3 linked regions of the Sus scrofa genome follow. The protein of the gene in region 1 interacts with the protein of each later gene in a pairwise test. Links are inferred from orthologs where the notes say so. Each region holds a gene or a part of one and is shown in the gene's direction. Other genes may lie near its edges.

Evidence for each region.
Region 2: the proteins of TRIM69 (region 1) and FKBP1B interact in binary tests that used the Homo sapiens proteins (3 or more experiments, as listed by UniProt). The two-hybrid records come from large-scale screens. The link is inferred for Sus scrofa from reciprocal best matches to the Homo sapiens genes TRIM69 and FKBP1B.
Region 3: the proteins of TRIM69 (region 1) and NEK8 interact in binary tests that used the Homo sapiens proteins (3 or more experiments, as listed by UniProt). The two-hybrid records come from large-scale screens. The link is inferred for Sus scrofa from reciprocal best matches to the Homo sapiens genes TRIM69 and NEK8.

Annotation. Positions count from the first base shown.
Region 1 is NC_010443.5:126,775,228-126,778,649, reverse strand, and holds the end of TRIM69 (E3 ubiquitin-protein ligase TRIM69), read left to right. Parts: intron 1-2,244; coding exon 2,245-2,786; 3' UTR 2,787-2,794; downstream 2,795-3,422.
Region 2 is NC_010445.4:114,631,986-114,635,734, reverse strand, and holds the start of FKBP1B (peptidyl-prolyl cis-trans isomerase FKBP1B), read left to right. Parts: upstream 1-1,065; 5' UTR 1,066-1,215; coding exon 1,216-1,252; intron 1,253-3,749. UniProt on the Homo sapiens protein: Has the potential to contribute to the immunosuppressive and toxic effects of FK506 and rapamycin. PPIases accelerate the folding of proteins. It catalyzes the cis-trans isomerization of proline imidic peptide bonds in oligopeptides.
Region 3 is NC_010454.4:44,961,822-44,965,570, forward strand, and holds the start of NEK8 (serine/threonine-protein kinase Nek8), read left to right. Parts: upstream 1-1,273; 5' UTR 1,274-2,008; intron 2,009-3,028; exon of another isoform or gene 3,029-3,276; 5' UTR 3,277-3,365; coding exon 3,366-3,412; intron 3,413-3,749. Other genes in the region: TLCD1 (calfacilitin), read right to left, coding at 244-499, 809-1,002. UniProt on the Homo sapiens protein: Required for renal tubular integrity. May regulate local cytoskeletal structure in kidney tubule epithelial cells. May regulate ciliary biogenesis through targeting of proteins to the cilia.

The DNA of each region.
Region 1 (3,422 bases):
CAGGAGAACTAAGTGATCTTATTCATGCTATGCACAGAATAGGCTGAAGACAGGCAAGACTGGAAAGAGAATAGTTAAAAAGCTATTGTAGTAGTTCTAAGTCAGTGGTGAAAGTTGTTTGTCTATATATTTGGAGTAGGCTTAAAATGTATTTTAAAAGTGGAGCTGGTAGAACTTACTGTTGGACTGAACAGGGCATAAGAAAAAAAGAGGGGACACACAGCTGACTCTTAGGAATATTCAGAGCCAGGGCAGACTGAGCTAGGTGGATATGTCAGAGGCTTAGTATCAGGCTGGGGTTCTAAAGAAAAGTTGACAGGAATTCTTTTCAGTACCTCCAAAGAAATCCTAGTTCTCACATTGGAAAGAGTGACAACCCAAGGTGGATGAGGATTTATGTGAGAGAGAAGATTCAGCCTATATGGGAAAATTTCAGGATTCTTCAAGTCTCCTGTTGGAAAGAAAAAAAAAAATCCTTGGGATGATGGAAAGACTTAGGCTTTTCTCAGATGAGAGAGATGGACTGGTTTGATCTTTTTTTTCCAAGGATAAATAAATCCATTAAAACAAATGTATGCATATTTGTATATGTGTCTATGATGTGAACACGCATAGTTTTTGTATTTCCTTTAGCAAATTTTGTGCCAAGACTCAATTATCTCACATCTAGAATTTGTGTCACTTTGTGCTGCTGATACACTTCCAACCTATCTTCATTTAGAAATTCTTTTTTATACTGCTGCCCATTGATTTGTCTAAATTACCTGTGATGAAGGACCAGTTTTTTAAATCTCAACCTGTCATGTTTATAGAATACAAGTTAATTACTTGAAAAAGTGGAATTAAAAAAAAAGATTACAAAGTACAAGCCCAGTTTTTTAACTAAATCAACTGACATAAAAATTATTCTGTCAGAAGTTCCCTTGTACAGCAGGTTAAGGGTATGGTGTTGTCACTGCCATGGTTAGGGTCGAAGGAACTGGCCCAGGAACTTCCACATACTATGGACAAGGTAAAAAAAAAAAAAAAAAAAAAAAAAAAAATTACTCTGTCAAAGTGTAAGTTTCTTCCTTAGCCTGATATACCAAGTCTTCATAATCAGACCTCTGCCTACCTTTATACCCTTATCTCTTGCCATCATCTGCCATATAACCCTGTGTTTCAGCCTTGCTAAGGTACCTGCAGCTCTTGAAAATATTGTGCACCCTTTTTCTTGTTTGTGTATTTGCTTTCCTTTTGCCTGGAATATCTTTCTCCTTTTTCACCTAGATAATTCTATTTTTACTTTTATATCAGCTTACTTTTTACTTCATCCTAGAAGACCTTTACTTTTACTTGACACTACCCTTAAAATAGATATCCTTCCTTTATGTTCAGCAGTTACTCTCTATATACCTCTATCATAGTATTACACCGTTGTAATTGTTCACATACCCATTTCTCCACAAAGTTTGGGCATTATGAATATAAGATGTATCTGATCTCTGTATTTCCATTACCTAACACAGGAAATGGGCTTACATTTAGACACTTAATAAATGTTTGTTGCATGAACATGTAAATAAGTCATATGTTTCTGAAAAGAAAAAAAAAGTATAAGTTTCTAAGAGCTTACTCTCAATTTCTAAAATATCTTGCCTCAGACTGGTAATTAAACCATTTGTAAACCACATTCTGATTATCAGTAGCATTAAGCATTCAGACCTCAAACGTTTCACTGTCTATTGAACCAAATATAAACTTCTCGCCATGGTCTTAAAAATTCTGTACCAGTTAGCTCAGTCTCACTTGCCTCTAACAAGAAAGCCCTTATCTTCTCTTTAACACAAGGTACCGTTTTTTAACACATTCTGTTTTTGTCTCTGTTTACCCAAAGCATCCTGATACATCTTAAAGATGTTATATCAAAACTGAGGTGCTTATTGCCCTTAGATAACTTTCCTAGGGTCCATTTACCTAATCTTTACCCTTCCAGTATTCATATTTTCTTATATTTATCAGCATAGATTTATGTTATTTGTATTTTTATTAAAGCATATGTTACTTCAGAGTAAAGTCTGATTTTTACCATTGTAAAAATATATAGAATATAGCCACATAGATATCAAAACAATATAAAGTATATAAGTAATAACCTGCTAATCTAAATGTATATGTGCCTAGGGAGATAAAGCACTGGTGTCTATGGGAACCTGCATTCATCCCTTTACCCCCATGCCCTGCTTTCTCTTCTTGTCTTACTAGGCCTGTCTCCATTAACACTGGACCCTAAAACTGCTCACCCAAATCTCGTGCTCTCCAAAAACCGAACCAGTGTGTGGCATGGTGACATTAAGCAGGTAATGCCTGATGATCCAGAGAGGTTTGACTCAAGTGTGGCTGTGCTGGGCTCTAAAGGCTTCACATCTGGAAAATGGTACTGGGAAGTAGAAGTAGCAAAGAAGACAAAATGGACAGTTGGAGTTGTCAGAGAATCCATTCTTCGGAAGGGCAGCTGTCCTCTAACTCCTGAGCAAGGATTCTGGCTTTTACGACTAAGGAACCAAACTGATCTAAAGGCTCTAGATTTGCCTTCTTGCAGTCTGAAACTGAATAACAACCTCAACAAGGTGGGCATATACCTGGATTATGAGGGAGGGCAAGTATCCTTCTACAATGCTAAAACTATGAACCACATTTACACCTTCAGTAGCACTTTCATGGAGAAACTTTATCCCTACTTCTGTCCTTGCCTTAATGATGGCGGAGAGAATAAAGAACCATTGCATATCGTACATCCACAGTAATTTGTCATACTGTTGTATAAATTCGGAGCAATATTAAAGAGGTATTAAAATAGTTTACCAGTCTCGCTGGTTTCTCTTCCCAATTCATGGGGAACTCTAAAATAATGAAAAGAGGATTCACAAATGGAATTTCATACTCAGTGTGCTAAGTGGATTTCACTGGAGCTTTTCAAGATGTAGTTCTAATTCTCAGAGGTCTACTATGACACAGGAGACACTCTCAGGAGTGTGACCATCATAGTAATCTATTATTACTAGGGCAAAATGCAACTTGAGTTTGCAATGCTCAGGAAGCCTGTACAAACTTGTTTAGAAATTCTATCATGCTATCCTTATTCTCCAACATAATTATTCTTAATAGATTCATTTTTAGATGTGTTCCCCTTATCTTTTAACGTAAAAATTTTTTTGTCTCTTTGTCCTTTTAGGGCGGCACCTGCAGCGTATAGGTTTCCAGGCTAGGAGTCTAATCGGAGCTATAGCCACTGGCCTTTGCCACAGCCACAGCAACGCCAGATCCAAGCTGCGTCTTCGACCTATACCATAGCTCATGGCAACGCCAGATCCTTAACCCACTGAGTCCAGGGATTGAACCCGCAATCTCATGCTTCCTAGCCGGATTCGTTTCTGCAGTGC
Region 2 (3,749 bases), on another chromosome or scaffold:
CATCATGTTTCTTGAACAACACTGGCAGTCCTCCTTCAGGGATGCTGATAACCTGACGTCTCTGCCCTAACCATCTGGGAGAGTTGGGGAGGGGATATGTGGAAGAACAATACCTCTAGGGCCCACATCTGATTTGCTCAGGCTTTTCTCCTCCTGTTTATCTTCCAGCGCCACTTGTCGCTGTCATGTTAATTTCTGCAACAGTGCAGAGAAGAATGGGGGGGCGGGAGAAAATTTAAAGTCCAATACATTTGTCAAGCAAATGCTACCTCCTCCAAAAAATAATATTTCCGGATTCCTGGATCTCCTATGGGTGGAGGTGAAGGGCCCAGCGTGGAGGAGGAGCTCAAGGTACAACTTACTCATCATTCATTCATTCATCCCACAGCACGAATCACTCCACGCTGTAACTGTGTGTGTCTCCATCTGTCACAGATTCAATTCTTCAAGGAAGCGATTCTGTCTTAATTCAGTTGGTATCCCCAGGGCACAGTTCTCGGTCTTGAAAGGTGGGAACCCACCTATGCGTGGGTCAGAATTATTCGAGATGGAGAATGGGGGTTTAGGGTGGGTGGGGAAAGGTCAGTAATGATTGGTTTCTTCTCCCCCCCACCCCCAGTCCCCAGCCCCCAGCTTGTCCCTACAGCCTAGATGGGACCATCCTCTCTGGTCCTTCCATAACGTTCTGAATTCTACGGCAGTGAACATGTCTAATTAAAATGTTGGTTTGTTGCCAACCTTTCCCCTCCCCCTCCAGTCTATGAGACCGGGTTGACTCCCGGAGCTTAACACAGAGTAGGTGCTAGATAAACATGTGTTAAACAGATGGATGCATAAATGGATAGATGGATAGATAGCTGGATGGGTGGATGGATGGATGGGTGGGTGGATGTGCTAGTATCTGCTTGCTTCCTTCGACATTCTCCCCAGTCGGTGGGTTAAAGCACATTAGCCTGGTCAAGCTGCCGAGCAGCCGCGTCAGGGTCCCTTCCCCGGGGCCCCGCCCTGGTCGACCCCACCTTTCCGCGCCGCTCCGCCCCGCCGCCCCCTTCCCGGTGGCCCCTCCCCGCGCAGGTCCCGACTCCAGCCGCACCTCCTCCGACTCTGCAGTGGCGGCGGGGGAGGCGAGCCGGAGCGCCAGCGGGCCAGGGCCGGAGCCGAGCCGGGGTCGGGGCAACAGCAGGGACCCTCGGAGGCGGGGCCAGTGGGACCGCGATGGGCGTGGAGATCGAGACCATTTCCCCGGGAGACGGTACCGGGTGGCGGAGCCGGGGGAGGAGGAGGGGTCTCGGGGCGGAGCCCGGCGGGCGGGGGGCAGATTCCGAGGTGGCGCGGAGGGTGCTGAACAGGGGAAGCGGGCCTAGGATGGGGGCGGCGAGAGAAGACCCCAGACAGAACTGCTCGGGGTCTAGCAGACATCCTTCGCCATCCCCTTCCGCGTCTGCTCACCTAGAGGAACGAAGGCTGCGGCTGGGAGGCTGGGGTCTGCGGCCCGCCACCGCCCCGAGGGCCTCAGGCTGCTCCTGGCGCGGCTGGAACCGCTCGGTTATCCGCTACTGCTGATTTCCCAGGGCCGCGTTTTAGCTCCGCCTTCCCTGTCCTGCTGAGTGAGCTCTGGAAACAGGGGAAAGAACATGTTTGGGGTCTCTTCTGCTTGGGGCAGCCCCCTTCTAACGCCCTCGCCGCCGGGCCTCTGATCCGGCGGTCCCTGGGATCTGGGTGGTGAGGCGTTGTGGGGGTCGAGCCAGTCTGGAAAGGGAGGAGCACTTTCCCCGCTGCCTCTGCATCTTGCTTTATCCTCTCTGCCCCACTCAGCCTCTCTGGCCATCCTGTTCACTCACATTGCTTTCATTATGGGCTGCAACCCAATGGCCTCCAAACTTAAGCCTCTAGCCCAGACCTCCAATCTGAGTTCACGGTAGTCCCTTTATCCAGCTGCTGCTCAGCCTCTATCTGGATGTCCCATGGATCCCTGAAAGTCGGCAAGTCCAACGCCGAACTCATGCTCCTTGTCTTCCCCACTCCCAGGCTCTCCTCTCTGTTCTCTCTTTCCTGCCACGGGATTGGCACCACTTACTTTCCCAAGCCAGACATTCCAGGCATCACCCTTGTGTAATCGAGTCTGGATGAGCAAGGAGTAGCTATTTCTTTATTTTTTTTAAAGCAACCGTAAGTCAGACTGCTGCCGCAGCAGGATTTGACAGACAGACTGCACCTCAGACATTACTGGCATCCCTATACCCCCAGAAAAGTTGAGGTAACTCGGTTCCAGGCCACCTTCCTTATTGAAAAATAGTGGTCCCTAGAAGTCCCAGCCACATCCTTGGTTCACCAATGGGCTACAGGCTTCTTTTTCTGTGCTTATCTCCTTAAGGCCCTATCACACCCCCCGGGAACTGCCATAGAGTTCTACCTCGAGTCTGGAGACCTCTTCTTCCTTCCCTGGCTCAAGAAACCTTTAGAGTTTTCTCTCCCTATCCTCCCTCCCTGGCGAGGGACAGGTGGGATTTTTTCTTGAAAAGGATCAGATTTTTAGGCAAAGCCTGGAGGAGCTTTGGCTTTCTGCTTTTAGCTCATTCTAAACCCCTGAGTCAAGGAAGCACACAAGGGCCAGCTACCGTGCTGTAACCTAGAAGGGAGAAGGTACCAATTAATATTTCAGCAGCTAAGCTGCCATGCCAGGGATGCTGGTCTTTGTCAGGCCCACAGCAATCCTGCTAAATTCTCCTGCTGAATATCTCAAGGCTCCATCTCCTTAACCCCTGCCCTAGTTCAGGCCACCATCATCTCTCATCTAGATTTCTGTGCAGTCTCTAAACTAGTCTCATCTCCAGTCTCACCTCCTGGCCTTCCACCTGGCCTCCCAGCCCACCCCGCCGTTTTCCTCACCACAGCCTGAGGATTGTTTAAAAATGCATCTTTGACCATGCCCCTCCCTGGGCATAACATTTTTAATGACCCTTCCTTCTCCTTTTCCAGGCAGACAGTCATATGGCCTCCTGTTACCTTCCACGCTACAGCCTCATCTCTTACCATCAGTCCCTCCCCCCACCACTGACTTTCTCTAGCTTTATCAAGCTGTCTGCAAGTTGTTAAACACACTAGTCATTCAGCAAATATTTATTGAGCATATACTGTGTGCTGGGCCCTAGGTTTGTAGCAGGGAACCAGACAGGCTCCCACTACTGTTCAACCCAAGGCCTTTGAACTTTTCCCAAATTATCTCCCTTCCTCTGGCAAACTACTCATCTTTTAAGACCCAGTTAACCATTATCTCCTTTCTGATACATTCCCTGACACTCCCAGTTGCTCCCTCCTCTGGGTCCCCATGTAACTGTTGGCTCAGCTGTTAGCCCTCCCAAGTTTTTGCTATCCAGCCCTATGGCTTTAAATTCTACCCAAATTTTATCTCTAGTGCAGACTCTCCATCTGCCTCCTTGCAGTACAAACTCAGATGTCTAATAGACATCTCAAGATTGCCACCCTCACAAATCTGTTCCTCCTTAGTCTTCCCATCTCAGGAATCAGCTCCTCCGTCCTTCCATTCGCTCAAATCTAATCCCTAGGCATTGTGCTTGTTTTCTCCTCCTCCCTCATCATGCACCCCATCTCCACGCCATTAGCATGCCCTGTCAGCTCCAATTCTAAAATATATCTCCAGTCTATTTTACTCTTCTCTGCTGCCAGCCACGTTAATTCAAGCCATCATTGATTTTCTGTCTGGATTATTGCAACAGGCGCCTAACTGT
Region 3 (3,749 bases), on another chromosome or scaffold:
GTATTCAATACAATTACATTTTGAACCCTATCCACAAGTTCTTGCTATGGGTGGAGTTTTCAGGCAAAGAAAATGAGGCCACGATTGCTGGCCTCAAGTAGTGAAGCAAGGGTACAGAGACTACCAACCCTCAGCATTCTAGCATTAGACCATAGGCCCCTGGGTGGGGTTATCTCCCAGATTCAAAAAGGCTTAGATTAGGTTGCTAGCACCAGGCCTATTCCACATCCCCTGCTCACTTACCATGACGTGATGGACAAGGTATTCCCAAGAAGCCCGTGATTGATGACTAACCACGATATCCACCGTGTCGTGGATGAAATACCCTAGCCGAGGGATGGGGAAGAGGTCATAAACGGGACTGAGCAAGAAACATTCCTGTCCCTCCCAACTACTTAATACGAAGCAAGACCTACCTGCAGAGAAACAAACGAGCAGATAGCCAGAAAGCGACCATGCTGTTTCAATCTCTACCAGCATCTCCGGGGTCTGCCATATACTGGATGGGAGGGAAGAAGGCAGGCGCTTCACTCGGTATCCCCAAGGACCCACAACCATGCCAGTGCCCGGGGAGTCTGGGCTGGTGCTATTGGCTGACCGGGAGCGAGGAGGGGCTTGGCTGAAACCCAGGTGTTCGCCGTTTCCCAGGTGAGAACCCCCCTCCCCTGGGGCTGCAGCCGCTCCTGGTTGGACAGCATTCTAAACCGGGAATCAGGTGAGACTGCCTGGGCCTCAGCCCGCCAATGAGTGATGGGAAGAGTAATGCGGGATCCCCTAGCCGCCTTCACTCCCCCAGTCCTTCACTCACCACAGCAGCGCCCAGGTCCCTGACACAATGGAATGGGCGAAGGAGACGAGCAGGTTGTGCCAGCGCCAGGTGCGCAGGGGGTCGGCGCGCACGTGCGCCGGTAGGGCCAGGCGACAGAGCGCGTGCCGGAGCGCCCGGAAGGTCAGCGTGGCGCCCAGGAGCAGCGGCAGGGCGGGGAGCAGCATTGGGGGCATGCTGACCCTCCCTGCCTTCTGTCTGTTCGCCCTCTAGGCCGCCTCCTCCGGCAGTTCGGGAAAGGGACTTTCTTTTGGGCTGGTCCACCCCCGACGCCTTTCCTGGCGGCCGCCAGCCTCACACACACTGTCTCCGCGGAGCCCTGTAGGCCCCCTTCGCTCCTCCCGTCCCTTCCCGTCCGGCCTCTGCCCCCGCCCCCAACCACCCGCGCCCCCGCCCCGCCCCGCCCTCCTGTCCCCGCCCCTCCGGCGCCTCCGCAGCGCGGAGGGCGAGAGCCCCATTTCCCCTCAGGCCCCCCAGGCCCCGCCAGGCTCCCGCGGACTTTGGGCAAAAGAGGCTGTCCTGGGGCCGCCACCGCCAAGCCACCCCTCGCTGGCGCCTCCCGACTGCCGACGGAGTCCCGCTTCGCTCGCCTGGCCTGGTTAACCCAAATCCCCTGGCGTCCCAGCTCCCCTGCCTGGGCGGGCCCTGAGAGAACTCTCTCCTCCCTTACCTCCTTTACCCGCAAAGCTGGGCGGGACCCGTCACGCACCCACGTCTTTTAAATCCCTAAACCTGGGGACCAGCCGGTGCCCCGTATCCGACGATGATCTCTCAGACCGTATTTTTCCGCTAGCATCTTCAGGCCAGAGTCGAACACGTTTACCTGCCTCTACCTCATCCCGCCCAAGTCACTGCCTAGAATCTGTCGACTAACCTATCACCACCCCTCCTCCCAGCCGGCTCTTGGGCTCCTGGGGCCGCGCGGCAGTCACAGTCCTCCCTCAGACAGTCCCAGCTCTCTTCTCCCCGCTTCCTGGAGGCCGGAGCGGGGAAGACGGCCGATGTGCCCAGGCCACCAGGGTGACCCTCACTTTGCCGGCCAGTGGCCTGGAGCAGTTGCAACTCACGACCGCTAGGTGACAGCCTGTCCTCACGCGGCGTGGGATCCCCTCCCGGCGTACAAGGAAGGAGGTGGTGTTTTTGCCCAAGAGTTAACCAGACTCAGCGAACGAAAGGGCGGAGGTAAAAGAGAAGGGAGTAGTTGGAGCGGGGGTGGGGGGCTGCTCTGAGAGTGAGGGAAAACCAGAAGCCTGAGGCGCCAAGAGGTTTGGGTGTTTGCTCTGCCTCCCCTGATGGCTCCAAGGTTACACATTAACCTCTCTGGGGCTCCGGGTCAACCAAGGCCTGATCAGTTTCTAGGTGAGAACACGGAGTGTCCCAGCTGAGTGGCTTTCCCCCTTGCCCTCCTCTGCTCACAGGGCAGCTTTGTCCGCCGGACACCCTGGCCTGAGCCAGCTACCAACAGGCCCTCATGGGGCCTTTCCAGTGGTCATTCCACGTGGGTAGTTTTGGGTACCCTTTCAAGGGCCAGGGTGGGAACAGAAGATAAACACCCCTTTCCTCACGTTCCTCACCCACTCAGAAATAGGGACGCTATCCCTTAGCTAATCATCGTCCTTCCTGCTACCTTAACTGAGATTTTATAGAGGTCATGAAGGGCAGAAGGCGGTGGGTAGACACCTGGAATTAAACTCACTTCCGGCCAAGATCTTAGACTATTGTACTACTAACCAGCCCCCCACCTCTGGGCAGAAGATTTGAACCCATATCAGGCGAATGATTCTTTCCTCCTCTCCCGCCTGGATGCCTTCAGGTGGTAGTCCCGTTCCCTCCCATTTTCCCCCAAGGAAGTTCTCCCTAGTTGAGTATTGAAGGCAGATTTCCCTGCGGCAGCGGCAGCGCTGTGTGTGTGCGTTGGGGAGTTGGTGTTGACAAGCGCAGGGCTCAGTCTTGACAGCAGTGTCACCTTCTGCCTAGTCGAATCAACTTGCACAGCTCGGGATTTCCCCGGTTCCTCCCTAGGCAAACACGAAACTAACCCTGCACCCTGCCCCACAGACCGAGAGCGCTGACTCTCTCGGTTCAATTTTGGTAGTGTCTATCGTTTGCATGCCAGTGAGAATCTGCCCTATCCTTCGAAGCAGTCACTAGTTTGCAAAGAGGGATGCGGAGCGAGATCGGTCCTCGCCTCCAACCCTCATTCGGCGTGCGCAGGGAACCCCTCCAGTCTAAGAAAGCTTTGCGAGGGCGAGATGCGTGTGTGGGAGGTGGCTGGTGCTGTGTTGGCCTTTGCGGAGCGCGCCCCCCAAAACAGCGTATTACTCCATTCCTTGGACCCTGGAAGGGCGACTGCGGATCCCGGCCACAGGAACCCTGCAAAACAGCCAAAGCAGATGAGAGGCTGAACCAACACCCAACTCCCCCGGCTCCGCCCCGTAATTATCTTGCAGAGCAGGAGGCGTGGCTCTAGAGAAGGCGGGTTCGCGCAAGCGCCGCGCCTGGGCTTGAGGATTCCGGAAATGTGACTCTGAAAAATGAGATGGAGAAGTACGAGCGGATCCGAGTGGTGGGGAGAGGTGCCTTCGGGTGAGCCAGGGCTCTGGGGGAGGAAATTGCTACGGGAGAGGGAAAATAAGCCCCGCGAAATCGCTAAGCGCGAAATCGTTGCCTGCTCAGCCCCGCCCCGAAGCGTTAGCGCCCTCTACGAGAAGCCCCGCCCAGGCTTCCGGTCCCGGTCCTGGATGGGAAACTCCGCCTCCAAGGAGGTCACGCCCCTGGCTCTTCTCTGCGCCCCCGCAGAGTTCTGTTGCTCTATCCTGATTCATTCATTCAACAAATATTGAGCGGCAACTATACACGTCAGGATCTTGGTGCTGTGCACACAGCTAAGCCCAAAAGAGGCGTGGTCTTTTCCCTCTCCGAG